2 linked regions of the Lytechinus pictus genome follow. Each later gene encodes a partner of the first gene's protein in a complex. Links are inferred from orthologs where the notes say so. Each region holds a gene or a part of one and is shown on either strand. Other genes may lie near its edges.

What was found.
Region 2: trafficking protein particle complex subunit 8-like (region 1) and trafficking protein particle complex subunit 12-like share a complex: the UniProt entries of both Homo sapiens proteins name them as parts of the multisubunit TRAPP (transport protein particle) complex. The link is inferred for Lytechinus pictus from reciprocal best matches to the Homo sapiens genes TRAPPC8 and TRAPPC12.

Annotation. Positions count from the first base shown.
Region 1 is NC_087246.1:37,672,202-37,688,496, reverse strand, and holds the start of trafficking protein particle complex subunit 8-like, read left to right. Parts: upstream 1-9,222; 5' UTR 9,223-9,509; coding exon 9,510-9,672; intron 9,673-13,287; coding exon 13,288-13,485; intron 13,486-14,784; coding exon 14,785-14,874; intron 14,875-15,240; coding exon 15,241-15,415; intron 15,416-15,905; coding exon 15,906-16,071; intron 16,072-16,295. UniProt on the Homo sapiens protein: Plays a role in endoplasmic reticulum to Golgi apparatus trafficking at a very early stage. Maintains together with TBC1D14 the cycling pool of ATG9 required for initiation of autophagy. Involved in collagen secretion.
Region 2 is NC_087261.1:4,622,679-4,639,253, reverse strand, and holds the start of trafficking protein particle complex subunit 12-like, read left to right. Parts: upstream 1-10,421; 5' UTR 10,422-10,579; intron 10,580-13,815; 5' UTR 13,816-13,864; coding exon 13,865-13,910; intron 13,911-15,050; coding exon 15,051-16,288; intron 16,289-16,575. UniProt on the Homo sapiens protein: Component of the TRAPP complex, which is involved in endoplasmic reticulum to Golgi apparatus trafficking at a very early stage.

The sequences.
Region 1 (16,295 bases):
AATTTTGACCTAGGACCGGGACATTCTAAGGATTATTTTGTCATCATGTCTGAGAAATGTTTTGTATAATTATGTACATATAGAAAACTTGATATTTTAAGCTTCATATCAGCCTAGTGAGCAAGACAATAATCATAGAACAGACGATGCGAGCACGAAGCGTGAGCGAAAATATTATAGTTGCATGAAAAATGTCTTCCCCTCATCAGTGGCGTACCTAGGATTTTCCACAGGGGGGGGGGGGCAAATCCGTCCGCCAAAAAATTTGACAAGCAAAAAGGAAAAAAAAAAAAAAAAGGTCTTCAATCACAAATAAAGGATTTCGTACCAGAAAAAAATTGACAAGCAAAAAAAAAAGGTCTTCAAGCTCGTCAGGGGGGGCAATAAAGGTCTTCAAGCTCGTCAGGGGGGCAAAGGTCTTTCAAGCTCGTCAGGGGGGGGGGGCAGGGATACGTCCTTTGCATATGGGTTGTGGCTCGTCAGGGGGGGGGGCAGACTGCCCCCTCCCGTAGGTACGCTAGTGCCCCTCATCTTATTTTATTCACTCGTCTTCCTCCTCTTATTTTACCTTTTCATTCCTCCTGTTTTCCTTTCTTTTTTTTTCCTTTTCTTTGCCTCTTCTAGATTTTTTTCTTGAAAAAAAAATCATCAAATGGTTAATACTACTGTAAATGTTTAGATTCATGTTTAAATGCACTCAAAGAGCCTCATTGGCCTAATTCTGCATTCTAAAAACGCTAAATTTCTTGCACGGTCGATGTGCTCCCATGCATGCTCAATCATGATATCTATTCTTAGTTTTCTTACAAGAATTTGGCCGTGAAAAAAAAAGTTGATTAAAAAGAAATTGTTTAGGGGGTAGTCCCCACTAAAGTCTAAAGTACATCTGAGTTTTTTTTTACAAACAAGATCAGATATCTAATAAGGCAGGCGTGTATCCAGGATTTTGCACCCGGGGGCCCGACCTGATTTAGGTGCCCCTGTTAACTTTTCGAGAAAAAAAATGGCGCCCCCGTGAACATGAATCATGAACAGGATTGGCTCTAAATAAACATTTTACGCTGAAAAGGTTTGATATTCCGACACAAAACTGGACATTTCAGATACTTTTTTCAACCATGAACAGGATGTGTATGTAAGCGCGAGCTAAAAAAGATGTTTATATTCTGACCTGGACATTTCTATAAAACTTATGGTAATCATGAGCAGGCCGGGTATCTAACTTTATGCAAGCGCGTAGCGCGAGCTGAAAGTTTTTGATATTCCGACTCAATAATTCATGAAAAGAATGCATAATCTATTGATGAGAGCGCGTTCGCGAGCTGAAAATTGTTTGATATTCCGAATCAAAATTTGTGATTCTAAGCGCTTTGTGACCCTCAACATGATGGGTATCTATATTGATGCGAGCGCGAATGCGATCGCGAAGCGCGAGCTGAAAAATATTGACAGTCAGGCCTAAAATTTTGATATAGCACTTTCAGTAATCATGAAAAGGATAGGCATCTATCTAAGCAATTGATGCAAGCGCGAAGTGCGAAATGAACATTTTTTATATTCTGACCTAAAATTTTGGCATTATAAGCAATTTTGATAATCATGAAGTAACAGGATGGGTATCTAACAAAAAAATGTATACGAGCGCAAAGCGCAAGCTGAAAAAATTGACATTTTGACCTAAATTTTTGATATTTGATCTAAGCACTTTCAGTAATCATGAACAAGATGGGTATCTAACTAAACGTTTTATGCAAGCTGAAAATTTTGATATTCCGACTCAAAACTTATGATTCCAGGCACTTTTTGTGACCGTAAACAAAATGGGTATCTATCTAAATAACTGATGCGAGCGCGAAGCACGTGGTGAAATATTTTTATATTCTGACCTAAAATTTTGACATTCTAAGCACTTTTTGCAATCATCATGAACAGGATGGGTATCTTACTTAACTTTTTATGCGAGTGCGAGATGAATACAATTGATATACTGACCTGAAAAGGGAACACTTAAATCAATTAATGTTTGCTGTAATTCATGAAAAATCTTCTTGATATTTTTTGTAAGCATGACCAAAATGCAATGAAAAATCGAATAAATAGCAAAATAATTTGTGCCTATTAAAATGGGATAGTATACAAAGCTCCATGTTATCCTCGTGAGCACATTATTACCTCCCTGTACAGGAAATGCAAACTTATTTATCACCGACGATGAAATGTTTAATCTTATATAATTACTCTCAATAATTTTGATAGTTCTTATTTGATTTATTTTGTTAATTCGCAAGTAGGCCTATTTGTTTTTTCCCCTGCATTTTTCTATATTCTTTGAAATTTGTATGCAATAAACCGAATAGAATTTGAATTTGGAAAATGGGGGTTTTTAGAAGGAGAAATGAGGAAATGCGAGCTAGCGCAGAGAGTGAGCTTGGGAAGTGGCGCGCATTTTCAGATTCAAATCTATGTCTTTCAATATTTTTGTGTTTCCAGTCTTTTCACTACTATTCGGACTATTCGTTATATTTCTTTTAACACTACATTATGAAGGGTAATAAACAAACTCCCGAAGAGAAGTATGGGTGTTGAGTCACCGCCAAGATGTTTATTAAACTTGGGTTCTAAACTTCGGTTTATATAATGGACAGATTTGACCTAAACTTCCTTCTTTTGGGTGCGATTTTTTTGTTGTCTCATGCACTAAATCGTATTTGGTGCTAGTTCAAATTTTCTGTACTATTTTCCATTTGTAAAAACTGTGGTGGCCCTGAAGGCAGTGGCGTTCCTGGCAATTTCATCAGGGGGAGACGACAAGGATGAGCAAGGTGGGGGGGGGGGGGTAATAGGCATGGACGTATATAGGCACAATTTTTTAAAGGGGCTGATAATCAAATATCAACTTCACAGTTTTTAATTTTCGAGCGAGCGAACATTTTTTTCAATTATTATTTAGCCTTTTTACATGATGTGAAACGTGCAGAAATTAAACATTCGGTCATAAAATTACCAATACACGAGGATATTTGGGCACCTCGCAGTCCTCGTTGCCCTGCATTTTGCAGCCCACCCCCTTACACGTTTGGACGTTTTGGACCCAGGGGGTAAAACAGTCGGGATGTTGCTACTACTGATATTTGCTATTGGGCGATTGCACTGTAATGTCGAAATTAATTCTTTTTTGTATATCATTCCAGAAATGATATGTATTGGATCGTGATCCAGAAATGAAATGTATTGGATCGTGATCGATATATTTCTAATTAAGTGGTAATTGCAATTTTTATATTAAAATACTTCTTTATTCCTCTTTGAAGGTGTTTACATTATGTTCCCAATTCTCTTCATTTGGAGACGTTATAAAAGAGGTATTTGACATTGAAATTAAGTTAAAAAATAATAATATAAAAATAATAATTGCGAGCGCGAAGCACGAGCTGAATTTTTTCTGAAAAATTTAGACCTAAAACGATGAATAGGTAATTACGCGAGCGCGAAGCGCGAGATAATAAATTTGATATTCCTAACTGGACACTAGACGTTCTAAACAGTTTTACGGGATGGGATTCTAAACAGTCGTGCGGGCGCAAAGCGCGAGCTAAAACTTTTGATATTCTACGCACTTTTAGTAACCATGAAAAAATTGGTTTCTAACTGAATAATTCATTGATGCGAGCGCGAAGAGCGAGCTGAAAATTCGAGATATTCCTCCCTGAAAAGAGGACATTCTAAGCACTTTTTTTTTAAACTATGAACAAAATGGTAGTTAAAAACAATTAATATGTGTGAGCGCGAAGCGCGAGCTAATTTTTTCTATATTTCGACCTGAAAACTTTACATTCTGAGCACTTCATTTAACTATGAACAGGATGAAATTTTATGCGAGTGCGAAGCTTGAGCTGAAATTTTTGATATTCCGACCTAAGAACTTGATATTCTAAGCAATTTTTGTAACCGTGAACAAATTGGTTTCTAATGATATATTTTTGGTTTTTTATATTCCTATCTGAAAACCGGACATTCTAAGCACTTCATTAACTATGAACAGGATGGATATATCTAAACAGTATATGTGAGCACGAAGCGCGAGCTGAAATTTTTGATATTCCGGCCTAAGAACTGGATATTATAAGCACTTTTTTTAACCGTGAACATTTGGTTTCTGACTAATCAATTGACGCGAGCACGAAGTGCGAGCTGAAAATTTTTGTATTTTCAATCTGAAAGCTAGACATTTATCATAGGTATCCAACAAAAAAATTGATGCGAGCGCTACGCGCGAAGTTTTTATTGTTATAATTATATTACCTAAAAGTTGTACTCTAACTTTTTCCTGTCCCTGGTCAGCCCAGTCCGTCCTCACTATCGGTACAGAGAGCTCTAAAAGTCGCATTGCGTAAAAATCACAATTTACCGATAAAAGTGTACAGTTTAATTGACATTTACCTACAAAGATGGTGGAACTAAAAAAAGTCTGCACTCTGCAGTCCAGTTTTTGTTTTCCCCCTTTCTCTTAAACTCTTTCTTCTTTTCCCCTTTCCCCCTTTTTTCTCTCTTTCCTCTTCTTTTTTCTTTTCCTTTTTTCGCTTCCTTTTTTTTTTGCTTGTGGGGGGGGGGGGGGGGCATTCTGCCCCCCTGCCCCCCCTTAGGTACGCTAGTGCCTGAAGGGACATCACAAATAGACCAAATCGCGAATAATCACGACGAAATTGGCTACGAAATTCACGACGTCGCCAATTTGAATATTGACGACGAAATTCACGACGTCGCCAATTTCGTCGTGAATTTGTTTTGCTTGCCTGATGGGCGGTATGCGGGTTGAAACCAATTCGTCTGCTGCTAATTCCTCCACTCACAACAGGGTCTACCTTCATTTAGTCTAATGCAATTCTGTCCATCAACTTTTCGCCTAACAACCATATGGTCCAATAACCATTTGGTCCAGTCATCACTTCGTCTAATCACCACTTCGTCTATAACCATATTTCGTCTCATAACTAGCTGGTCTAATATCAATTTTATTTTCCTTAATTTTGCCCAATTAACATTTAGTCCAATTAGACCAAATGGCATATGGACTAAATGGCAATTGGTCCAACTGGTTATTAGACGAAATGGCAGTTAGACCATGTGGATAGTGGACGAACTGATGGTAGACCAAATGATAGCAGACGAGTTGGCATTAGACCAATTGAAAACGACAGAACGATGTCCACTGCTATCCATATGCATAGGCGGATCCAGGGGGGCCGAGGGGCACAGCCCCCCCCCCCCCCTATTGGCGGAGCAAAAAACAGGGAAAAAGGATGAAATAAATAAAAAAAAAGGAGGGAAAAGAGAGGAGAAAAAAGTAGAGGAGGAAGACGAGTGAATAAAATAAGATGAGGGGAAGACATGGAAATAAAAAGAATCTTTCATGTCACTATATAAAATTTTCGCTCGCGCTTCGCGCTCGTATTGCCTGTTCGGGGATTTTCATATCTTGTTCAATACGGAGTTTAAATATCAAGTTTGGAAGTCAATATACAAAACGTATTTCATCTCGAGAATCAAACTTTCATCTTTTTGCGTGATTTACATATTGATTTTTAAAAAGTGCTCTGTAAATATGACAGTTTTATGGTCTGAATATTAATATTTTCTGCTAGCGCTGCGCGCTCGCAAATTTCGATTCATCAGGTACCTATTATTTTCGTGTATTCCATAAAGTTTTCAAAATATCCCTTTTCAGGTCTGATTGTCAAAACGTATCAGCTAGCGCTGCACGCTCGCATTTTGAATGTATGTCTCAATATTGATTATACATGTACATTCCCCTTTTCATGACAATTAAGGCTCGCAATTTGCGCTCGCATTAATGGTTAGAAATATATTGACTGATGCATCCTATTTATAGTTACAAAAGTGCTTCAAATGTCCAGTTTTCAGGCCATAATATCATCAGACTTCGCGCCCTCATTAGGCATTAATGAATAAAATATTAATTTAATAATTGAATTGTCCCTTTTGTTTCATCTCGCGCTTAGCAAGAGTAATAGGAAGACAGTCATCATTTTCATATGATGACATGTCCTACACTGTTAAAAAAAAGCCCTGATTTTACAGAAAAAACAGAAGATTTTGCAAAAGCAATAACAGAATCATTCCGTAAATTCATAAAACAGGATTTTTTCTGCAATTTAATAGAACAGGTCTGTTTAAAAAGGGGAAAAGGCTGTTTTATTTAAGGAAATTTGTAAAGTTCCATACACCAAATACCAATTTCCTGTAAGATTACGCAATCTGGTAAGATTACAGGTGTTCTCGAGACTCTGCTGCAGGAACTTCTTTTATTCAAATTTTCTAGCAGTGTAAGGATGTGCCGGTCCTATGTCAAAACTCAAAGTAATTATAATGAAAAATATCAACTCTTTATTAAGTGCGATCCATATCCTTTTTCCTCAATAATTACTTTCCCTTTTTATCTTGAATATTGTAGTAATTATTGCAAATGTTAAATTATTATTCATATATTGTACGCGCTATGGTACTTTTTGTTTTTAGCGCCTCTAAATATCCATTATTATTATTATTATCCACCTCACAATTTAATTCCGCCCCCCCCCCCCTATTGGCGAAGGCTGGATCAGCCCCTGGAACAAGATATGAAAATCACCTAACAGGCAATGCGAGCGTGAAGCGCAAGCGAAAATTTTATATAGTGGCATGAAAGATTCTTTTTATTTCCACGTCTTCCCCTCATCTTATTTTATTCACTCGTCTTCCTCCTCTTCTTTTTTATCTCCTCTCTTTTCCCTCCTCTTTTTTTAATTCTTTCTTCCCTTTTCCCCTTTTTTTTGCTCCGCCAGTAGGGGGAGGGGCCTGGGCCCCTGGGCCCCCCTGGATCCGCCTATGCATATGGATAGCAGTGGACATCGTTCTGTCGTTTCAATGGTTTATTTTCAATTGATCTAATGCCAACTCGATCGTCTGCTATCATTAGGTCTACCATCAATTCGTCCACTATCCACATAGTCTAACTGCCATTTCGCCTAATAACCAGTTGGACCAATTGCCATTTAGTCCATATGCCATTTGGTCTAATTGGACTAAGAGTTAATTGGGCGAAATTAAGGAAAATAAAATTGATATTAGACCAGCTAGTTATCATGAGACGAAATATGGTTATAGACGAAGTGGTGATTAGACGAAGTGATGACATGGACCAAATGGTTATTGGACCATATGGTTGTTAGGCGAAAAGTTGATGGACAAAATTGCATTAGACTAAATGAAGGTAGACCCTGTTGTGAGTGGAGGAATTAGCAGCAGACGAATTGGTTTCAACCCGCATACCGCCCAGGCAAGCAAAACAAATTCACGACGAAATTGGCGACGTCGTGAGTTTATCATTTTTTCCCGACAGTCTGCATGCAGTCCAGTGTTTGTTTTCCCTTTCTCTGAAACTCTTTCTTCTTTTGCCCCTTCCCCCTTGTTTCTCTCTTTCCTTTTTTCTCTTTTCTTTCCCTTTTTTCGCTTTATTTTTTATTTTTTGCCTGTGACTCGTCAGGGGGGGGGGCAGTTTGCCCCCTGCCCCCCCTTAGGTACGCTAGTAGGCCCTTTTTAACATTTCAAGAGCTTTTTTTGTTTCTCTCTTTTGAATTCGATTTTTGGGGTTATTTCACTCACAAACCCACCTCACCCCCCTCCCTACGCACACACACATATAATTTTCGGTAACCATAATTTTATAATCATGAATGTAATTTTATTTGTAGAATGCATTGGTAAGCACTTTCTGCAATATACCCTGTTATTATCAGTAGCGTATAGCAACATCCCACGTTGGAGGGGACATGGACAATTTACTGCCCCTGAGGGATTTTCATTTAGAATTTTTCAAATTCACCAGTTAAAGGGAAATTAGACTCGGAGAAAATGAAAAGTATGCCTACTCAGGGCAGACTAATGAAAAAGGACTCTGAAAGGGTGAAAGGAAAAAAAGTAGGGCTAATAAAAGAGAGGGAGAGAGAGAGGGAGAGAGCCGCGGGGGGGGGGGGGGGGTAGGAGGAAAAAAGAGGGGGGAGGCGGCAGGAAACCGGAAGAATGGGGGAATGAAGGAAAGTGAAGGAACATTGGAAAGAAAAGGTACTGAAAGAAAATGAGAAAATAGGCCCTTAAAACATGATATGCTATAGGCGGGATCGAGAGCGGGAGAGAGAGGGGAACACGTGAAATGATAAAAAAAATGAATGGCAATTAAAGGATGAATAAAGCCCACTATGCGATTCGTTGCGATCCGAATTTCAAAGAAATTGCAATAACAGTCTTGATATGAACATTCCAACCAATATAATCTTAACAATCAGAATTCAGAATTGTGATAGGAAATCGGAATTCAGTCAAGTTCGATCGAGCCTCCCCGTAGGTATAAAGCAAAATCAATTTCAAATCGCAATGACGTCATCATCGCCTCCGACTTGGAGCCGAAGTTGGACAAAACTCCGAACACAGGGCTTGCCGCATAGCAAAATTATGATTTTATAATTCCTAACATTATGACGAATTTCAAGTAAAATAATTTTGCTTCTTGGAAATGTCACATTTAATGCAAAATTCAATTTATTGAAAAAAAATCGCGTCGCATCGGATCGCATAGTGGTTCCATAATTCTATATGACATTTGCCCCGGCTCCGCTGTAAATTTCAAACACTATGGATGACAAACTTCAACCCTATATAGCTGGAATATTGCAACCCTAGCCTTATCACCGCAATGGACAGGGGATGAGGGGCAAAAAACAAAAAAAAACTAACATAAAATTAAGGGAGGATGAAATAGAGAAAACGTTATCATCATGTTCAAGTCTTTAGGACTTCGAAATACCCCAACCAAGATCTTGAGCAGCCGAAAACAGTGGACTAATCTGCCCCGCCCCCCTTAATTGGAGCGATGATATCTGCTAATTGGTTCCCATTGGTCCATGTTTTCTTCAAAATTTGACCCCAGACCTCGTCATAAACATAAACATACATGTATTTAGTGTATCAACATCTCATCAATAATATACGAATGAATATCTGTCTAATTTTAATTAGGCAATGGGCAATCAGTGGCATTAGAATCTCAGTGACTGTAACGGAACTTGAAACAAAACTCAAAAGCGCCATCTCGTTCGTTTCTAACTTTTTTTTCGCTGGTTCCCTATTTTACATTCTTTTATGTGGTGTTTCCTATCCTCACCCGTTGGCGTAGCGAAGTGTGGCGTATGCTAGTGCAAAATAATGGCGACTGCCTGTTTCATCGGATGATCATAGGCATAGCTGAGCCTGAACTTGTGCAAAAAAAGGGAAAGGGGAAAATACTGGCTCTGGGAGAGCTGAGATTGCTAGGCTTGATGATATCAGACGGATATGTGATAACATGTGGTGATTATCATAATTTATATGTTGACTTTCAAAGCAAGGAGGACAAGAAGAAGCTGTGCAGTGTAGTTTGAGTTTTGTGTTTGTCTCGGGATCAGACGCCGGATTCAATGAGAATGGCGCAGTGCTCGCAAAGTGCCAGGGAGTTTATTCAGAACACTTTTGGACCAACTGTGGCAGTTGCATGCAGTCATGATGCAGAAGTTCTTGCACAAAAGAACAATTTATCTTTTGTGGAAATGGTCAGGCCATTTTGCAGACTAACTTCAGAAGGTATTCCTCCTGTTCATGATGAATTAGATCTAGGCCTAAATTGAAAAAAACAAAAAAGTGAAATGAATTATGAATATGATTAACATTGTGAAAATCACCCTGTCCCTGACAAAAATTTGTATAAATGAAATATCGGTGAAGGTTTTAGGAAAATCCAAAGTTAGAATTATGATAATCAGTAGAGGCGCACGGCCAATATGGGAGACTCTCTCTCCAATAGGGGAGACAATCTCCCACATTCACATTGGAGACTTGCTTTGCAAAAGGACAAAAGAAACAACACCAACAAAAGCATGATTTTTTCCACCCAAAATTTTGTTTCACTGAGGTCAGAAGCCCATTTGTTTTGTGTGTGATTGACAACAAAAATCCTTATCAAAACAAAAGTAGACGGTGAATTTTTAAAGTAGACGGTGAAAAGGGGTAATTTTCACGAGGAATCTGCTTATCACATTTTTATTTGCCGCCAAGGTAATCCTTTTGCAGCAAATGCAAACAAAGAAATAGGTCTCCAAAACTGGAGACTGTCTCTGAAATTGGATACCCAAATTCTTTACAAAAGTCTCTGATATTGGAGATAATCTCCCACATTGGAGACAGTCTCCAATATTGGCCGTGCGCCTCTACTGATAATTGATATTTTGATTTGTCATTTTGTGACATCATGACAGAGTCCAACTGCTTAAGTTCTGTTCAGTAGAGGCGCTGGTCAGAAAATTGGGATCGTCCCAGTTTTCAGGGACTGTCTCACTCTTCTCTTGTCTTAGTTTTCAGAGATTTCTCCACACAAGAAATCTAGGAAAATTTCATTCACCTGTCAAGTGCTGACATCAATTGAGTGCGCTAGTCAATGTAAACTCATTAGGTTTCATAACAAGATTATTGGAACTTGGAAGATGGCAAGTCGTGAAAAATAGACAGTGATCTAGGGGTTATTGAGGTCACTGAATCTATTTTTAGCACTCTCAATCCCCGTAATTGCCATCTGTGTCCCACAGGGGTAAGTGAAAAAAAAAACTGTCCCCATAATAAACAAGGACAATCTCAATTTATCAAGACATGATTTGTCTTGGTTTTTGAGGATATCCTTTTTTTTTTCCGGGACAATCTCTTGTTTCCTTCCTCCGTTAATGTCGGAGATCGCTGATAACAGTAAAAAAAAATGACTGAAGACGCTTCCTATGGGTTGCTAGAGTTAGGTTGCTGAGAAGGTTTTGGTGAGTTGTGTGAAGATTGCGAATGAAGTATAAAATAAGAGTGTGGAGCTAGGTTTTACTGGCACTGCTGATGCGTACAGGGGGAAGAAAGAGGATGATACATTCTAGAAAGGACTGGGGGTCTGCCTCAAATAAACCTGCAAATTGTGCGGTATTGTCGTTGTCCTTAATGCGATTGATGAGGTCACGGGGCACAGGTGCAGTGGCCGGACAGGATGAGACAGTGTTCAACATCTTCTCTATTTAGGAACATGGTTGACAGATGTCATCAGAACCCTTTCTAATTCTGACAAGTCTGGCCTAAACTTTGCATGAGATCTAGGCTCTGATGGTGATAGCTGGTCTCAGGGTGGGATTAGCTATATGTCCAGGATACAAGTCAGTAGCCTTAGGCTTTGGTCTTCTGGTTCATAATGAGAGTGAACTTTTCTTACAGAGAGAGCCTCACTTTGCCTGGACTCTGATGTTCTAGTCACTGCTAACACCACCATGTGTTACCAAAGGCTTTAGGTTGGAGGTTTTTACCAAAAGCTCATCTAACGGAGGAAGATTAAGCATCCTGAGAACAAGGCACCATTGTTGAACTGAAGGGGTGTTTGGCACAGATGCTATGAAGAAATAGCCTTCATTCTGTTCTATCAGGGGCAACGTTCAGGATCTGTCCTAAAAGCAAGAGCTTCTTTTTCATAACCAGAAGACTTAACTTCACTTAAGGCATTATGTCTGTCAGGATGTACACAGATTCATCAGCTGCAGATACTGGAAACCCCAGTCCCAATTTTTGGACCAGCGCCTCTACTGAAGTTAGGCCTAAAAAGGTTGGACCTAAGTGAGTCTATGCAAACAGCCATAGAAAAAAGTTGTTCCAAACAGTGCGCTATTCTCAACAAGTTGGTGTCGATGTGTTCGTCAAAGACATTTTACTGACCCAACCATTCAGATTCAGACCCTAGATCTAAATTATGATCATGATATAGATATAGTCTAGTAGAGGTCTAGATCTAGATCTAAAAAATTGGTAAAACTAAAACTGAAAATCAATGAAATTTCATTTTCTAAAAAAGATTAAAAATTGTTTTTATTATTCCTTAAATCTATATCAATAGGGAAATTATTTCACACCTGCTGCTGAAAGAAAAAGAAGTCACAAAACATTAAAAACTTAAGAAAATTGACAATTTAGTGTAGATCTAGATATAAGAACTAAGATGCATATTTATATTATAACATTGGGGCAGTTGCTCGCTTATGACATCACATATCAAAAACTCAAAATTCTAATATTACTTTTCTTGATCTTTGATGGATTTTCCTCGAACCTTCACTGATATTTTTTTTCAGGGTGAACTTCCTTTCACAAATTTTGATTAGCATGTAGGAGCCTAACCTGGCCTGAGGTTGAGCTGGAGCCTGGCGCTGTCCTTCAAGGGGATTAATGCACTTGGCTAGTGTGCTTTTGGACTGGTGCCCAAAGGAATACACAAAGGGAACCACAAATTCCCTGCAACCGGCCCAACTTGGCACCAGCCAGGCAGCCTCCATGGCCTCGGCTTATACACCAATGAGCAGGTTGTGGAATATTGCTTCATTCGGACAGTCATGCGAAAGCACACTCGTCTCTTGCCAAGCAGAGGGGGGGGGGGGGGTTACATTTTTATGGAGATTGTGGGTAAAAATTAACAAATATTCCCAGCAATCAAATTGTCAAGAATCCTACCTAGAATAGATTAGATGTTGAGGTATAGAATTATACAGTGTGGTTTGGTATAAAACCTTTAGAAAACTCCAACCTGCCATGAATTGCTCGTGGTTTAAGGTGTAGGGGTCAGATCTCTAAGCTGCACTGTTGTAATGGCATGGGTTCAAATCCCACCTTTGATTCCCAATACTAATAGTAATTTTTCAGTTGTAAAATTGATAAAAGTTCAAATTAGACCAAGCTGAAAGTAGTGCATTGTGACAATAAATATTCACTTGGTCTGGCAGTTATAATGGTTATTGGGTATAGTAACAAATTTAGCCAGAATGTGTCGTTGGATTTTTTTTTTTCTAGATTCTTAGACATGGGCACCCCCATCTTGTCTTTAGTTGGACATGGGCAGGCTGATGATATACGTGGTCCATTTAAGAAAAGAATATTCTTAATCTAGACAAGTTTTAAGTTAAGCCATGGGTCTCTTAACACGTTTTGTTCCTCTTCCCTCGTTTGCCTCAAGCCTGGAGCCCTTTTATGTAAAGACCATTGTAAATCCACAGAAAAACAGTGTTGAATTCAATTTCATACATAATAGTAATAAAAATGGATTTTATCTATCCATACAGTGGATTTTGTGTCTAGAGATGGGGCAAAGCTGCATTATCATGAAAACATAATTCCCTTACTGCTTCTCATTCACAGCTCACATTAGAGACCCAGCTGGTCAGCCTCACTCTATTCATAACCTAAGATTGATTGTGAATGACATGAACACACAGCCTCCATCAGCTGGTATTCATCGCAAACTCTGTTATGATGCTGTGCAGAATTCACAAGTCCCTACTACCGAAGGGAGAGCAAACGTCTTGACAGTAGGTTCCTATGACCTGCAAATTAGTGGTGAGTTTATTCATTCAATTTCAATGTAAAGTCAAGTGTAAAGGTTCTTGATCTTTATGGACTTAAGTTATCTACTGCATGTATAGTAAGCCAGGCTAACACTATGCGATCCGATGCAAAGTTATTTTTCAAGAAATTGCATTTTGCATTAAATGTAAAAGTTCCAAGAAGTAAAATCATTTTATTTACAATTTGGCATGATGTTAGGAATACTGAAATCATACTTTTACTTTGCGGCAACCCCTGTGGTCGGAGTAAAGTCCAAATCGGCTTCAAGTTGCAGCAGATGATGACGTCATTACGATTTGGAATTGAATTTGTTTTTATTTATTCAGGGAGGCTCGAACTGGACTGAATTTTGCTTTCAGTAGTCCTACTACTGTTCTGAACTCTGATCCGTAAGATTTTACTAGTTGGAATGTCCATATCAAATGTTATCACAATTTCTTGGAAATTCGGATTGCAATGAATCGCCTAGTGTGAGCAAGGCTGAAGATGTATTCTCTCTTGAGAGATGGTAAATCAGTGAAGACAGAAATCATATCATTTCTTTTTTTAAAGTCCATTTTCCTAGCAACCAAATGGTACTTTGGTAATATTTCAAGACCCATGCATCTCTGAACATTATTGTTTTTAAAATATTGTGCCAAAATGAACTTGGTTCACTTGCATGCTTGGAACAGTGGGCCCAATGATCTGTTCCATGTGATTCACTTTCATTTCTATTTATTTCATTGTATGTTAGACTTGTTTTTTTATATGTGGATGTCTTTTGTATATTCTAAATATTATGAATGTTTGTTTATTTTGAAATGAAAGGACCAATAAAGCAAAACATAATACCCCCCCCCCAAAAAAAATTACAGTGGACCCAATGAACAATAAAAAGATAAAAGGATTGATTGTCACATTAAAAATCTTACAATTTTTTCATGTCTCTTCATCTGTTTGTTAAAACACATTTTGTCTCAAACATATTGAGTGAATTCAATTATAATGCTTTTTTTTTAAATATAATTTTGACGTAGCAAATGCATAATTCCCTTCTTTGAATGCACATACTCATTTAGTTCCCCTACAATGTACAGTGGAACTGAAAGTGAACCACCTGTTATTTTGCACCACTTTTCATATATACTGTATATATTATGTTTGAATAGATTTAAACAAGTTTGTGTAATGTAATGTAAGAGATATGATTAATTGATTAATACAAACCGAGGTTTATAGAGTACATGTATATCCCTTTCCTCCAAATGTTTCATACCTTTCTTGAATTGTTTTTGTTCGTTTCCACAGCCTCCACTCCATGGTATGAAGCATATAGGGAAAGTGTTTTGCAGAGCATGGCAACTTGTGACCATGAATTCATCAGACATTTTGTGGCTTGTATCCTTTCTCAGTCATGAATGTGAGTGACTTGTTGAGGGGGTTTCTCCGTTACCGCCTGAACAAAATGCTCTTTTGCCTCTTGCTTATTACTTTTAACACGTTGCTTTTTAGAGAGGATATTCTTGGGATTGGTCCGACTGAGTATGACTTGATCAAAGGAAAACAAGCGATACTGAGGATAAAGGGATTAAAAGTGCATTTGAGTGCATTACATGTAGTCAACTATAAATAATACATTTCCTTCAGCATCTCTTGGGGGTGATCTGTTATATGTAAGAAAAAAGAATAAATTAATCATATTATGTTCTTTTTAATCATTTGTAGATGTGAAATGACATTATTTCCTTAATGGAGAAACCACAGGTATGCTTGTAGTATCAACAGGTCATGCAGATCCAATGGATCAGTTTGTCAAGTTATCTCAAGAGCAACATCATCTTCAACACACATCATCAGCTTCACATCCTAAGTGGCTCTGTCCTAATATCTTCAAATACTATGTCCTGCTTCATGATAACTCAGAAGGAGAAGAGGAGAAGTGAGTCTCACGTAGAGTTACTAGAACGAAGAAGAGTGTTTGCTTGTTCTTGTTTATATTCTTTTAATTTTGTTTAGCCTTGTTTAGTTTTGATTTGTTTGATTTTTGGGAGAGATTACTGCTGCAGTAGTAACATAGTTTCTGAATATTGCATGATTTATACTGTATATATAAACTATCATATTTCAACCAATTCCCAGAAAAGAATCCATAGTGCATCTGCACAATTCTCAATGGGTGGGGGGGGGGGGGGTGAGGTTCATCAATTACGAGTTCGATTATAATTTAGGCAGTATGGATTTGCTGTGTTAATGTAAGTGGTACACTGTATATTGAATATCAATTTACACACATGCATTTACATAAGTCAGAACATATTTGAAAATATAATCTTGAAAGATACTTTCTACACTGAAAAAAAAACCCTTATCCTGTTGAAGTGGTTTGATAGATACGTTTATTTCATTGTTCATTTTTCCTGTTTGATTAGAGCTGATGCAATCTATCAGAGCATGAAGTCTACCTACGGCAGTCATGCATGTCATCTTCTAAGGATCAATTCTAGAGCACTGACTACTGTAGATCCATCGGTAACTGCTGAACAGAACTCAATGCCTGATCCGTGGAGTCAGTATCTAAATAAAGTCAACCAACAGGTTAGTCAAAACTGTTCAGGGCCCCGTAACATAAAAGTCACTAATTCTGCTATCCAATGATAATTACATGTGCCATACAGGGCTCAAAAGCCAATCAAAAATCAAACATTTCATGGAAGTTAATATTGAACAGTACAGTTACAGTATTTTTTTATGCTATGGGCTGCGAGTCTAATTTCAATATACTCCTATCATTTAAAGTGATATGTGTTGAAAGATTGTAA
Region 2 (16,575 bases), on another chromosome or scaffold:
TATAAAAAATGTTGAAAAAAATTCCTCGAAATAGACGGCTGCCAGCTGTCTAGTAATACTAAGAGATTTGTTTTTTTTTCACAAATAAATCATCATAGAGAGAGGGAGAGAGAATTTTTGAGAAATAAGTACACGAAAAATGAAATTTGATAGTTATTTATATTACTGATAGAGAGTAAATGGAGTTTTTTTTAACAATGGTTGTGTACTTGTTTTTTGGGGGAGGTATTCGTAATAACCCTTATTGCACGTTTTTGCGAAACAATAATTCGGTTTATGCTAGTCTCTAGCATAAATACCAAAAATCCTCAAAAGCCACAGCAGATCTACAGCAAATAGATCTACTCTTTAAAAATGAATGTTGCTTGGACTTTGAAGAAAAGATGCATAACTTGAAGAAAGGATGCAGGACTGTCATATACCACCTATCAATGCTGCAGATAACAACAGAGAAGGCAATAATGTCACATGTAAGTTGTCGAATGCAGCACAAAAGATAGCATGTGCATGGGACTGAGCTGTGTTGCCAGAGTCATTTATAAGATGAAGGCTGGTTAAAAATACCCCTGATAATAACATTAAAACACAATTCAGAATCTAAAAAGGGGGCTCAAAACAGTGCTAAAATGGCCTCCTAGCAACATTGATGGTCATGCTTGATTTAAAACCAATTTATCAAACTGAGAGCTAAAAATATGACATGATGTACACACACTGTACCCTCGAACTGCTTGTATGAACTAATATAATACAATTTAAAATTGATGGGACTCATTTTAGATACCATTTTGAAAACCATATTTGAGGTTTTTTTTTTTTTGGAGGAGGGGTGGGGGGAAAAATGGACTGCTTCATACCATTGTATCTAATCCGAAAGTATTATTTTACCCTTTAAGCCATAGTGTACACGCCAAGCTCATATCTCTCAGGTGGATTTTAAATGAATTATGTCCATTTAAACTATAATAAAACAAAAGTAATGCTATTAGGGTCAAAACAAAAACTAAGTACTACTCATGATCAACAAATATCAATAAGTATACATGGCTGTACTCTAGAATGTGTAAATGAAGTGAAGTGTTTGGGCGTAACAATTGATAATTGCCTTGACTTTAAGCAACATACCAATTCAATTTCAAACCTTATCAAACGTAAGCTTGGAATTATTCGCAGGAATAAACATTATTTTAATCAATCTCAACTTTCCAAACTTTATTGGGGATATGTCATTCCCCATATCCTTTATTGTTCTAATGTTTGGTTTGGGAGATCAGAAGGAAATTATGACACGCTTAACAGGTTACATAAAAGAGCAGCGTATCTGATATCAAATCGCACATGGATGACACGTTCTGAAATCGTGTTTAAAGAACTAGATTGGCCCTCTCTAAACAAAGTTCTCCATAGAACCTCATGTGTTCTTATGTATAAGTGTGTCAACAAATTATCGCCCGCCATTTTATACGATAGACTTTCATTTGTCGATGATGTCTCTACGAGAACCACACGTAGTTCTGACAAATTGCTCTTGAGATTGCCAAAATGTCGTACGACCTTTTACCAAAAATCTTTTCTGTTTCTAGGCTCTTTCAATTGGAACCAGCTGCCTGACCATACAAGATTTTCAAAATCCGTATATTCTTTCAAATACCAACTTAAACACATATAGACAAATCATATCGTTCATTTTAATCAGTATACAATACACTTATCACCCACTATTCTCTTGTCCGTTCCGTTCCTAAAGTACTCTTAATCTTGATTGCTGCTCTTTTCTTGTCTTTCTATGTTTCCCACTTATTATTTAGACATTAAAGCGTGTCGTGTTTTGTTTGTTTTGTTTTTCTTTCTTTTTATCTCGATGTATATTAGTGATGAAATTTCCAATGATGCGATATGTCTTCTGCTTGTTTTTTTTTTTTTTTAATTCCAAAATTAAATGTATTAGTACTGTGTGATACATTGCCTTATGTTTTAACGATCTGTCATTTTTTTTGTTTTTTAAATATTCATGTATATATATAATCACAGGGCCCTGAGGTAGACCAGCTTTTAATGTTAATATCTTGCGTATTTATAATCTTGCCATCTGTAACTCGTAACATATTTTCGTATTTTACTTTGTATTTGTTCCTTTTTTCTGTATCTCATAATGACCTGTTACTATGTTTTTCGTATATTGTATGTTTTTTAATGCTGATCAGGCCACTCTGTATAAATATTCGAGAATAAATAAATAAATAAATAAATAAACATCAATTCGGCGCCCCTAGGTAGAACAATAATTTAGCATCCCCTAGGCCGAACATCAACTCGCTCCCCTTTCCTCTTCTTCTTTTTTTTTTCTTTTTTCTTTCCCCATTTTTTCTTTTCTTTTTTCCCTCCTTTTCTTTCCTTCTCTTTTCTTCCTCTTTTTGGCGCCTTTTCGCCTACCCGGGGAGACCGGGTCCAGAAAGCCCCCCCCCCCCCCTAAAATACAAATTGGTCACTGATTCAATTTTACTCTTTGGAGATTTTGACGCGGTTTTTTGCGTGTGTAGGTATTTTTAAAAATTTTGCTCCGCCCAAGTGCTGATCATGATATCTTGAAAATAAGCACATGAACCCACAATATCCAATATCCACACCTCTTTAGTATACCTTTCTATACAATCCTGCAAAATTTTAGTGAAACTGGCATGGGTTTTGAATAAAGTGCAGCTTTTTGCTTTTTTTTTGTTATATAAATTTTTATTTCTTTAGATGGATTTTGACTGCATATTATAGGTTAAAACTCCCACGTTGTGATCTCGCGGGGTCTAAAAATGCAAAATTATTTTATTTTATTCATGTAGGTGCAAAGGTATCTTTGTGCAAAATTGGGTGAAAATGACATAGATTTCATTTTAACCATGAAACGTCCTTGAACCACTTTTAAGGCTGAGCGATTCTCCGAGAAGTGTCTCCTCTTGAACCTTAAAAACTTGTGAAAAAAGTTCTTCAGAAATGGACAATCTTTCGTGTAGTGGGAAAATCATGTTGCATATCGCCTTTGATAAGTATTGGACGTAATCCGGGGAGGTTTTATTCAAATTTATCAACATTGAATTTTCAGTGCTTGTAGCTATAGAAAAAATCAAAATGCCATCTCCGTCATTCATTTCATTTCATTTATTTATTTCACCACGGTTAAAAGCCCATTCAGCAATGCTGTTTTTCAAAGGGGCCGTGTTACAATATTCAATACACAAAAATTATCATAGTTTTTTTTTAAGCAAACAAAGTAATTCATTAAAGGACAAGTCCACCCCAGAAAAATGTTTATTTGAATGAATAGAGAAAAATCAAACTAGCATAACACTGAAAATGTCATCAAAATCGGATGTAAAATAAGAAAGTTATGACATTTTGAAGTTTCACTATTTTTCACAAAACAGTGATATGCACAATTCAGTGACATGCAAATGAGACAATCAATGATGTCCTTCACTCACTATTTCTTTTGTTTTTTATTGTTTGAATTATACAATATTTCATTTTTTACAGATTTGACAAGAAGGACAAACTTGGCTAAGCCATAGAGTATTATTAAACAATGCTAATTCCACATGTTGAGGACGAATTAAACGTTGTATCACTTGACATTGAGGAGAAAATTAGAATATTTCATATAATGAAATACAAAAGAAATAGTGAGTGGATGACGTCATCAGTCTCCTCATTTGCATTCCAACCAGGATGTGCATATAACTGTTTTGTGAAATTAAGCGAAACTTTAGAATGCCATAACTTTCTTATTTTACATCCGATTTTGGTCAAATTTTCAGTGTTATGCATGTTAGATTTTTCTCTTTTTATTCAACTCAACTTTTTGTTGGGGTGGACTTGTCCTTTAAAAAAAAATTTACACGGATACAAACAACTAAAGTGGATAAATTAACATTACAGAGTGCAAGTGGGATATAAATTACTGAAATTCAGTTATCATGCACATAGGTATACAACTAAAAATATACAAATCATTATTCCTTGTTTCCGCTTGTTTCCCGCCCTTCCCAAGTGAAATCATTATATAAATCTCAATCAATATGTCTGATTAAAGCTTTAATCAAAGCACATTCGTAATGGTAGCTTCATTTAAATGGAGTCTTAGTCGTGATCTGAAGCTGAAGGTGGACCTTATTCCTTTTAAGTCATTTGTAAGATTATTCCAGGCAATTGCACCTCTATATTTTAATCGCCTTTTCCCATAATTTGTTTTAACTTTGGGGATGCAAAGACTATAATCCGATTTACAGGTTCTATAGTAATATATTTGATAATTAAATCGTCTACTTATATATTCGTGACGTAGATGTTGTGTAATCAAATGTTACCCTGATTAAATTAAGATTAGATCTTTTATATGATGAAAAATTAAAGTATTAGCACCGGATATTATAGGGCATTATGATTAACAAAATTCACATTCATTCTCTATTGTCATTTTGTAAGAAAAAAGCAAGCTCCGTAACCGTCATCTCCGTCACAGCCGTTACGGAGATGATGACGGCTCGGACCGTTGCTGGTCTAATATGCCTATCCTACCACATCCCATCCGCGATAGAGCCATATGTTTTGCTAGCGATTACGATCTTCTCTCTAACTATGCCATCAAAATTAATAACAAGCAGAGGCCTCGAACCTGGGGGGCAGGGGGCGATCGCCCCAGTATTTAATACAATAATTCCGTATGTGCAAAAATAAAATAAGATTGTAATGTTACACAGAAATCAGCAAGCGAGATTGAGATACACAATTCGTTCTTTATTCAAAATCGTGCTCAAAGTGCCCGCTTTTTCACATTGGAATATAAAAATTTTCAGCTCGCGCTTCGCGCTCGCATCATTTCTGTAGCAAAAATCCATACTTTTCATGATTAAATAGGTGAATAGAATGTCCCATTTTCAGTTCTAAACCTCAAAAGAACTCCCGCTTCGATTTGCAATAATCTTTTGTTGGATATATATCCTGTTCTTTATTAAAAACGTCCATTAAATTGTCAATTTTTTTCAGATCGAAATATCAAAATTTTCAGCTCGCGCTTCGCGCTCACATCTATTGTTGTTTTAGATACCCATCTTAATCATTGGTACCCAAAAATGCTTAGAATATCAAGCTTTCAGGTCAGAATATACAGAAATTTCAGCTCGCTCTCGGCAATCGCATTATATGAGTAGAAATATATGTATCCTCCTCATGAGTTACTACAAATAGTCCTAAACAGGCACATTTTCCGGTTTTTCAGGTCAGTACACTAAAAAATTTCAGCTCGCACTCGCATTAATTGTTGGTGAGATATGTGTCTCTGTCTCATGAGTCATATATATATAATGTATAGGCCTTTGTGTGTGGGGGTTGTTTGATTTGTGTGATCGAGCGCCTTTGGAACGTTGATTCATGATTTTGCCCCCCCCCCCCCCCCCAATCTAAAAAATGGATCGACACCCCTGATAACAAGCTATCTAATACGGGAGTTCGGCATTAAAGGAGAATGAAACTCTTGGAGCAAGTTAGCTTTTGTGAAAGCAGAAAAATCAAAGAATAAGATCAACAAAACTTTGAGTAAAATAGGACTAGCAATAAAAGAGTTATGAGCATTTGAATGTCGAGATCACTAATGCTATGGAGATCCTCCCATAGGCAATGCGACCAAGATCTGTGATGTCACACACGTACAACTCTCCCATTTGGACACCGAAAATATACCCCAAAACATCTTTTTTTGCTCATTCTAATCATATGACAAACGATTCATCAATGATATAATGTTGTGAAACCTCTGTACTTGTCATCTCATAAAGAGAACACCTCACCTTGTGATAGAGACTCTATAAAAGTGAGAATATAAGTGAAATAAGTACTAAAGTAATGAGGGAGTTGTACGTGTGTGATATCACAGATCTTGGTCGCATTGCCGTTGGGAGGATCTACATGGCACTAGTGATCTCAATATTCGAATGCTCATAACTTTCTTATTATTCATTCAATCTTCCTCAAACTTTCAACAATATGTTTCTTTGATTTTTCTCTTTGATATGGATTCAGCTGGTTTCAAGGGTTTCATTCTCCTTTAAAGGACGAGTCCACCCCACCATTAGTTGATTTGAATAAAAAGAGAAAATTTCAACAAGCATAACACTGAAAATTTCATCTAAATTGGGTGTAAAATAAGAAAGTTATGACATTTTAAAATTTTGCTTAATTTCACAAAACAATTATATGTACATCCTGGTCAGTATGCAAATGAGGAGACTGATGATGTCATCCACTCACTATTTTTTTGTATTTTATTATATGAAATATGAAATATTCAAATTTTCTCCTCATTGTCAAACAAAGATTAATTCCTCCCTGAACATGTGGAATTAACATTTTATAATACCATATGGTTCAGTCAAGTTGGTCTCTTTTGTCAAATCTGTAAAAAATAAAATATTGTATAATTCAAAGAATAAAAAACAAAAGAAATAGTGAGTGATGGACGTCATCGACTGTCTCATTTGCATGTCACTGAGATGTGCATGTAACATCCGATTTTGATGAAATTTTTAGCGTTTTGCTCGTTGGATTTGTCTCTATTTATTCAAATCATCATTTTTCTGGACTGGACTTGACCTTTAACTGGGCGTTGTGGCATGCGCCTTTAATCCAAGCTATATCATTTACTGTATGTGGGGAAGTTACAAATATTGATGCAGAGGTTCGAGCCCCGGTCACGTCTTTCGGATGGCGACGTTAAAGGTCCCAGACGTAAATAGGCCTAATATCCGATTGATACTGATATACACGTCTGAAAAAACTCAAATGAAGAGTTTGGTTGCAAAAGGGGTTAGACTCCGAGAAAAGCCACGTTTTTATTCTCACTTATCGCAATATTCTTATGAGAAACAAAATTGTAAAGATGTACTACCCTATCGTTAATTGGGTATACCTGCACGTCTTCAAATTTTTCTATATGTTTTTTTTTAAATATCATTGCGGACCTAACCCCTTTTGCAAGCAAACTGAAATGAATCCATAACCTTTTTTATTACAAAATATATGTTTCTTTGCCGCTTTTATTCACGTTTTCATGTGAATTTCAAATTTTCTTTGGTATCATCATAGCGACTAAAAATTTAGAGGTTTTGAGACAGAAAACAATAAGATTTATGAAAAATGGAACTAACCCCTTTTGAGAAATGAGCTCTTCAAAAGAATTTGGTTGCAAAACATGCAAAAGGGAGTCCACTCCAAGGAAATCGTTTTTTTTTATCTTATGCGAAACTAAATTTTCATGATACCCTACCATGAGAATGTAAAATTGGGTGTAACAAGAAATATCTACCTGTCTTCATAGTTTTTAAAATATTCTTTTCCAATGAAAAAATCTGTGTGGATCGACCTAACCCCTTTTGCAACCAAACTGAAATGGACCTAACCCCTTTTGAAAAAAAGTGATTTTTCTTTGCCATTTTAGTTCACTTTTTGATGGGAATTTTCTTTGGTATCATCTTACATGTATATAGCTACTAAAAATCTATATATTGAGACCAAAAAATAAAATTTGATGAAAAATTGACCTAACTTCTTTTGCAAGTGAGCTCTTCAAATACACATGTACGTTGGGAAATGACTCTGAATACAGGTACGACCTGGGTTTGTTACAAAAAAAAATTGAGAGCTTTTCTTGTAGGATGTGGAAAATATTATGGTTTAGGCCTATTTCTTTATCTTCAGCCTGCAACCATCATAGCACTGTGATTTTATGTCGTCACTCGTGCCCTAGATGACGAGGTTTTGCGGGACATGAAATATCCGACAAAATTGTCGTTTTCTTGCAAAATTTCAATCAAATCAAAATTTCATATCAAATTACAACCGGCAGGCAAAAAATGTTCATTCGACCCAACCCATTCTCAATAAATTTTTTAATTTGATATTGCTGATTGACGAAAATGAATGAATATGATTGACAATCTAACACTGATTCTAGGGAGGGTACCTACTGAACTTGCTTTTTCCAAATTGGAAAGATATATCACTACCAACTATTTTTGCTGGCGGAAGAATTAGGGCCATTTTACTCTCTCAAGTGATGAATTTGACCCATAGAGATTATAGAGTAGTTATTAGTGTATATCTCTATGATGACATTCATTCCATTGCTTGTTTTTATGGGCAATACGTCATGATATTGACTATTTATGCCACCCACTGTAAGAAAATTAGGGTGACAATTTATTTAGTATCATTATATTTATATTTTTTAATTTCTTTTATATTCATTCTTACCTTACCTTACCTTACCTTACCGCAAATACTGGAAGAATGCTGAATTAGCAGTCGAGCTTCCAGGTCTATCTTCTAATTTTGTCAGCTTCCTTCATGCTTCAATAAGTTTCAATAAGTTTAAGGAGGCAGTGGGGCAAGTTGGTGAAAATTGACTTCTCATATCCAGTTATTCTTGTTTTTCTATTAAAAAAATAAATACATGTGAAACAAAAAATAACTGAGGTATAAGATATCAACAAACAATAGGGGGATTACTTCCCGAAAACGACAAGTTTGTTGATCGACGATCTATGAGATATTATATAAAATAAAAACATTATAACACGAGGGGATAACTAGTAAATTAAGAGGCTTTTTATAGGAGGAAATTATAATTTGTTAACAAATTTTCGGCATTTGAATATTAATGAATATTAATGAGTCAGAAAGAAGAGGATCGAGGGTATTTGAATTCCAGTTCATCGTGGCTTAGCCGTGAACCAGAATAGCCTGGTGGTTGAGTCGCTGCCCGGAAAGCAGTAGATGGCAGGTTCGAATCCCACTGGTTCCAATTTTTTCTGACTTATGATCATATGATTTTCATACTGATCTTATGATTTTCATTTACAGATCGAGCATACTGATCTTAAACAAATAGGAGTAATGCCGAAAATTTGTTAACAAATTATAATTTCCTCCTATAAAAAAGCCTCTTAATTTACTATCTATTGTCCACGGCGGACGGTATTTGAATATTAATGAGTCAGAAAGAAGAGGATCGAGGGTATTTGAATTCCAGTTCATCGTGGCTTAGCCGTGAACCAGAATAGCCTGGTGGTTGAGTCGCTGCCCGGAAAGCAGTAGATGGCAGGTTCGAATCCCACTGGTTCCAATTTTTTCTGACTTATGATCATATGATTTTCATTACAGATCGAGCATACTGATCTTATGATTTTCATTTACAGATCGAGCATACTGATCTTAAACAAATAGGAGTAATGCCGAAAAAAAATTGTTAACAAACGAGGGGATAACGTTTTAATAAGTTTTTCGGTACTTTGAATTCTCAGCTAGTGTACCAAGCACCAAAAAAATCTGCATTTTTTTGTAAAGATTAGTTATACAATTCCAATATCTCAGTGGCCTAAGATATATTTTCTGGGGTTATATTGACCCGTAAACAGCGAGAGAGATTTATGTGATCAAGAAGTGATAAGATAGAAAAAACTGATTTGAAATGAATGAAAGAGAGACAGGCAAAGAAGAAGAGCCCCCTCCCACACCCGTACCAGAATTACGGGTCCTGTCGGTGGAGTCGAGATCCCGTCAGGTGTAGTCTTCATAAATGCTGATTTATTTTTAAAATGAGCCGGTCGAGGTACCCTTTTCTGGTCAGATATGGAATGTCAGACATTTATCCTATCGAGTGATAGTAAACATTTAACCCTCGAATTTCCTCCTTATTTTTTTAAGAATGCTTTTTAAAGTGCCACTTTAACACACGAGTCTATGGGAAATGAATTAGGCCTGTGATATGATGCCTAAGTATTAAAGGGGAATCCAACCCAAATGAAAACTTGTTTTTAGAGGAAAAAGTAAATTCAGACAAGCTGATAGGTGAAAGTTTGAATAATATTGGACAAACAATAAAAAAGCTATGATTATTTAAAAGCTGTAAATATTGGTATTCACTATACCATGGAGACTTCAAATTGGCCGCATATATGATGTCATAGTGATTTAAGGCAAGGACTACTCTTCCATGTACTGAAATACACGAAATGGCTAAAATGTCATTATTTTCAAAAGTCATACTTCAAATTGTAATTTTCTTTCATGAGGACATAAAACAATATGCTACCTGGGTCATATTTAGATTACTGCCCCAAGGGAAAGGGTACTTAGGAGAAAACCGCAAATCCCTGATAATTAAGTACAATGGCCTATGAGAAAGTTGTCATTGCCCCTTGTCATAATTTTCTTACTCATTTGCCAATTTGAAATCTACATAGTATAGGGATCTCGATTTTAAAACAGCCATAACTTTCTTATTGCTTATCCGATTTCTTTCAAACTTTCACCGTTCTTTTTTATTCATTTTCTTCTTTCCAACACAACATTTTATGACCAAGGCTGGATTCCCCTTTAACGCGAACGTTGTACCGGTAGAGGGCAGCATTCAATTCTATAGCTGGAACGTTAACAATACTTGCTCCCGACGCAGATCCGGAGATTTGGTCCAAATTCTAATTAAATCGGTAATAATTAACGTTAAAAGACTGAAATAACCCCTTTAAACGAGCTGGTAAGTCAAATCAAATATGGTAACAGTTATATCTATCGTACCCCACTCGCATGTAACTTAATATGACTCCCCAAAACTGTACTGAACTGAGTGAAGGACGCCTAACTTAAGTTAACCCTAACGTACCGGTACCGTACCACTCCGCGGCACTTGCCGGTAACCCGGCCCAGGGCCAGGGAGCTCGCTCCCGCCCGCAGCGCAGCTCCTTACCTAGACCAAAAGCTTCGGTCTCTGTTAAGTGTTATGTTGGTTGTTCAGCTGAACTCCGTTGGCTTCACTCACCAAATACAGAGACCGAAGTTCTAGCGCGATCTGTACAGGGGACTCAATGGCCATATGTTTATGTACTTAAGATCGGATAAAACGGGGAAGTGAATTTGCGCGACAGCCGAGGTAAGTCACTGTTTTTGTTCCTTTTAACTTGATTTTTCTCAGTTTTTTGGCAATTGATGCCAAGAGGGAATATTAATTTGCATTTTGGTCGCGTGAATTTTCAAAATTTTTACTCATTAAAGACAAAAATTGAAGAGCCCCGACGGGGGGATTTTGCATTGCAAGTCCCCTAATGGTGGCTGCACGCTAGCGAGCCGTCTGTGTATGAGGAGAAATTAAAAAAAAATAAAATGTTAAAAAACTCCTCGAAACAGACGGCTGCCAGCTGTCTACTCCTTACCTAGACAGGAATAACCGTCGTTTCTGGGGATTTATTCAACAATTTCTGACATTTTACTGTAATCCCCATTTACCGACGGTAGGGTGTACGTGTGGGCTCGCATGTGTTCTCATTCCCTCCCTTTTGTCAATTCACAGTCCAAAGTTTGATGTAATTTTACACATCGAATTTACAATCTAAGGATGTATAAACAACAAACTTTTAGACCTTGATATTCGAATATTTAAATACTTTAAACGATATAGATGAAAAAGGCATGAAAAATATACTTTACCGATGTTTAATTGGGTTGAACACGATAAAAATGGTCAAAATGGCAGCCAAACTATAAAATATTTACAAACGAACGTCAACAATCACGAATGTGATATCGATATTGCTTTCGATATTATACGATCTGCTCCATATGCAAACGAAACCGAAGATAAACGATACTAGTTATACTAGTACTAGTACTAGTTATAATCGCGATATATCGATTCGAGACATTAAGTTAATAACGATAATGACGTCATTCAAGATGGCAACTTGCTAGAAAAACGGTCAGGTCAGGTGAAAATGTCTTAGATGACAGATTTCTCAATCATCCAGAGGATTTTTTTCAATAACTCCGGCCCAAGGTATGCAATTACTTAATTTATTTATATTTCCCTGATAATGGAAACCATGAAACTTTCAATTTTGCTTAAAAAACAGTTTTAAATCGCGATCTATAAAACGCTAGTTCACTATACGTTGGCTGTAGGTACGGGGCCCCATCCCCTTCAGTCTATGTATGGTGAGTGGAGCCAACGTAGTTCAGCGGAACAACCAAATTACAGAGACTGAAGCTTTTGGTCTACTCCTTACCGGGCTGGAGCCCAGGAGTCGTCCGTGTAACTAGGCAGACAAGTACAAGGGTACTCTTCAAAATGGCTTAAAATGGGGTCGCAATAGCACTCAAAATAAAAGGGGAAAAATAAATTATGCAATTACGGTACCTCGATGAAGCCAAGGCAAGGACAAGGTCTACCGAAATGACATTTGACACAGAGTCTGGCTTAGCCTTAGCCTAGGCTTAGCCAGGCGGCTTCTAACAGAGAGTAAAAATCATAATACTAACGTAAGGTTACTCTCATACGAAGCCAGGACTTCTACCTCATAGACCCACACAAAGGAAGCCAAAACCTGAAACTTTCACCCCCAAGATTTCTACTTCTAAAAGATCTAGGTCCTAGCTCTGGTCAGTAGAGGTGCATGGCCAATATTGGGAGACTCCAATAAGGGAGACAATCTCCCACATTGGAGACTTGCTTTGCAAAGAACAAAAGAAACAACACCAACAAAAGCATCATTTTTTCCACCCAAAATTTGTCTCGGAGGTCGGAAGCCCATTTGTGTGTGGATGACAACAAAAGTCCTCATAAAAACAATAGACTAGTAGACAGTGAATTTTTAAAGTAGGGCCTAGATGGTGAAAAGGGGTAATTTTTCATGAGGAATCTGCTTATCACATTTTTATATGCCGCCAAGGTAATCCTTTTGCAGCAAATATAAACAAAGAAAATTGGTCTCCCAAACTGGAGACTGTCTGAAATTGGATACCCAAATTCTTTACAAAAGTCTCTGATATTGGAGATAATCTCTCTCATGGGAGACAGTCTCCCGTATTGGCCGTGTGCCTCTACTGCTGGTGCACGAAGATCATGTCTCCCCTTCTCCTGTACAGCAGGGAGTACAAGTTCAATTTTGTAAGTCTGTCTTTATATGGGACGTTCTTCAGCTCTCTAACCAGCTTGGTTGCCCTTCTTTGGACCCTTTCAATCCTCCTTGCATCTTCTTTGTATCTGTTGTGCCAGAGGACACTCCCATATTCAAGGTGGGGTCTTAGGGTTTTGAAGAGCAGAGGCAGAGTTGTCCTTGTGAGTTGAGTGAAGGTTCTTTTCATTACGGCGAGGAGTTGGTATGCCTTGCTAACTCCTGATGACACATGCTGGTGACCCTAAAAAAAAAGGAAATGTTATTGTTACTTTTTTTAGATCTAGAATAACTGCATCTGTGCGTGGCTGGGGATTGGTGTTAGCCTTGAGGACTCCATGTCTGATATTTTTTAATATTTTGACATATATACTTCTTTAGAGCTCTATGGAGCCTCGAACCACCGGCCATATATTATAACTAGGCTATAATCATGATAATAAGAGACTGCCAAACAAAGATGGATTTCCCTAGGAAATCCATCTTTTAAGATAAAAATCATGTAAATGGTGGTGATTTTATTTATTTTTACACCTTCCTACGGCTACGCCTAATGCGTAGGAAGGTTTAAAAAAACTGGTCAATAAAAATGTTAAAAATTGAAGGTTTCTTACCAGACCGATCTCGTGTAGATCCCTCGATCCGTTTGTCAACAAAAGCAAATACAATAGGTCTGACCCTTGAACCGCCTTGTGATGACGTACATCCGATTAGCGATGTTACAAAATGCCTTTTTGAAGAACAATTTATAGATCAAAATTATTTTACAAATCTAGGCTTTCTTAAACCGACATTGCTTTAACATTAATTTCTTCTAATAATATAGCAAATGCAGCAAGACTACAGTTGATGATCGAGCAAACTTGGATGATAAAATGGCTGGGACTGAGAAAACTGCACAAGACGATGTTTCAAAAACAGGTATGGCTCAGATGCTTGACAGTCAGATTTTGCTTTAATGCAGAATCTTCAAAGATTACAACAGGAGGAGAACCGATTTAAACCTAAAACGGCTGGTGAGGGAGGGGGATAGTAACCCACCCCCTTCAATATTTTCATCCACGCGTAATCTTTTGACTGTACCGCTCACTGTCTCTTACTTCAAAACCATTTTTCAGAAAAGTCAGGCATACATGTACTGATACCATGCTTTGCACCTATTTCTAGACGCCTGTTAGACTGATGATGACTCAATAAAGATCTGGATTCTGTGTACAAAGTCAATAATATTGGATACATGCATGACTATTTTCACTTTCATACTGTCGCATGATTACTCTTCAAAAAGGTTGTGCAAGAAATTTTGCCAAAAAAGTCAAGTAAGGCGAAATGTCGAAATGCAAAAATATACATAGATATTCGAGACTAAATTGCATAAGAAATTGATTTTGAATTTATTCATGTAGATTGATATTTTTTCAAATGCGATTGCTACATGTATATATGTAAGTGAGCTACAAAGAATACTAAGACAAAAAACATAATTCTAGGAGCTCTTTGAATAAGGGCAATATTAGTAATTTTCAATTCATAATTAGTATAAAATATGATTGATATTAAAAATCCTACTAGTTGGCAAAAATGGATAATGCAATGTAGTAGATTACATAGCACTTGATGAGTGTCGTGGTGCTCAGCAGCTGTGACCCCATCCCAGAAGTCATGTACAGTACTAGTCTATTCTGAGAAAGTTGTTACTTAACAGAGCAAAATTGTATTTTAATGTACTTGAACAAAGTAGAAATAATCATGTGTGTGAAGTAAATTTAGAACATGAAAAAGTTCAGCATGGGGCTTAGATGATCAAATCAAACATCATGTTGGAAGTTGAAGTTGAGAAAAATGAAATATTGTTCTGATATTTAATAGTCAAAAACCTTAATCAAAGAAATGTACATGTTGAGCAGTCTGATAAAGGTCTTTGTCAAGGTGCTTTGTTGAATATGGAATTTGAAATACTATCTACTGCTTTTTGTGTTAATAGTGTATTTCATAATTTCCTTTTTATGATTAAATCTAAGTTTTAATAGTCATACATATTTTTTTTTTATTTGTTGTCAGATCCCAAGCCTTTTGATGCAAGCCTTTTCTTTCAAAGTGAAGCAAACAAGCCCTCCTCACCAAGTTTTCCTGTAGAGAGTCCCTTCATGGAGCATCCTACTTGTACACCTCAAATCAATATGGAACAATCTAATGATAAAACAAGAGGAAATGAAGAGGAAGGAATGGGTCAGAACAAACCTGCTCTGCAGGAACCAGTTGTAAAGGACACGCAGCCATCAGTAGCAAGCTTCTTTGCTAAAGACCAGGGCTTGACTCAGAGCTCTGGAAGCTTCTTTGATTCATTTGCCAGTGCGCACGGAGATGAGAACGACTTGTTTTCAACACCACCCTCATCCATTGGAGCGACACCGGTGTCACCAGAAGGTGGGGAGTTTATGAAGGATCCTCTAGGCTTATCGGATGTAGTCCCAACGAATATGGTAGATATAGCTGGAAATAACAGCGAGACGGTGAGCATTGACTCCACAAATCTGCTCACTGAAGAAGATGCTAAGATGGGGAGTGGGAGTAATATGGACACAATGAGCATGGATTCAACAAACCTTTTGTCAGAGGAGGACAAAGATGATCAAAGCATTGATCAGGGGAATGAGAGCTTTGAAGCAAAGAATGACCTGATGGCGGATGGAGAAATAGAATCTGTGAAGGGAAGACTTGAGACGACAATCTCCCTTGAGAGTCCTGAGACCGAGGCAATGGTGATGGAAGAAGGTATACACAGTGCTGCAGCCATGTCAGACCAAGGTGTCAAGGATGTTCCTGCTGCTGGAGGAAAACCTCCAGAGACTGTTCCTGATCAGGTCTTAATTGATGCTGGCACAAGCTTTGGTGCCGAAGATAATAATACCATTCCTGATACGCAGTTGGGATCTCCTTATGAATCCAGCACTACACCACCACTATCACACACTTCCCAAGAAGATACTGTCACTGACTCAACAGATTCGCTGGGGGTTCCTCCACCCCTTGTATCATCCTTCAGTGCTCCATCTGGTCTTGTCAATCCCAACCATGTCAGGCCACACGTGCCGTTTCAGTCCACCACATCCCAAGAAGATGATGATCCATTTGTGGAAGCACTCCGAACCAGTGAGAGTGATCGTCGGCACGATGCATGGATACCATCAGAAGCCACTCAAAGGATCTTGGAGAATCGTAGTATCGCTCAGCAAGGATCAGAATACGTGATCAGGGATCAGCTTACTATGCCTGGTATAATTGTTGAAGAGCCACAGGTAAGAACTGGAGCATTTCATGAAAAGTTTTGTCGGTGATACTCACTGACCAATGTTCTCAGCCAATAAGATGTGAAGATTGTAGCAATTGCAAATATCTACTTTAATAACATAATCCATGAAATGCTCCCCCTTATTACTCATCAAGAACTCAGTGGAATGTATTTTCATATTCAAAATTCAATCGGATTCATACTAAATAAAATTCCCCACAAAATTATAGGGATTACTAGGTTTCATCTGCCGTACTCAACATTTACGATAAAAATAACCCTAAAGGTCTACAA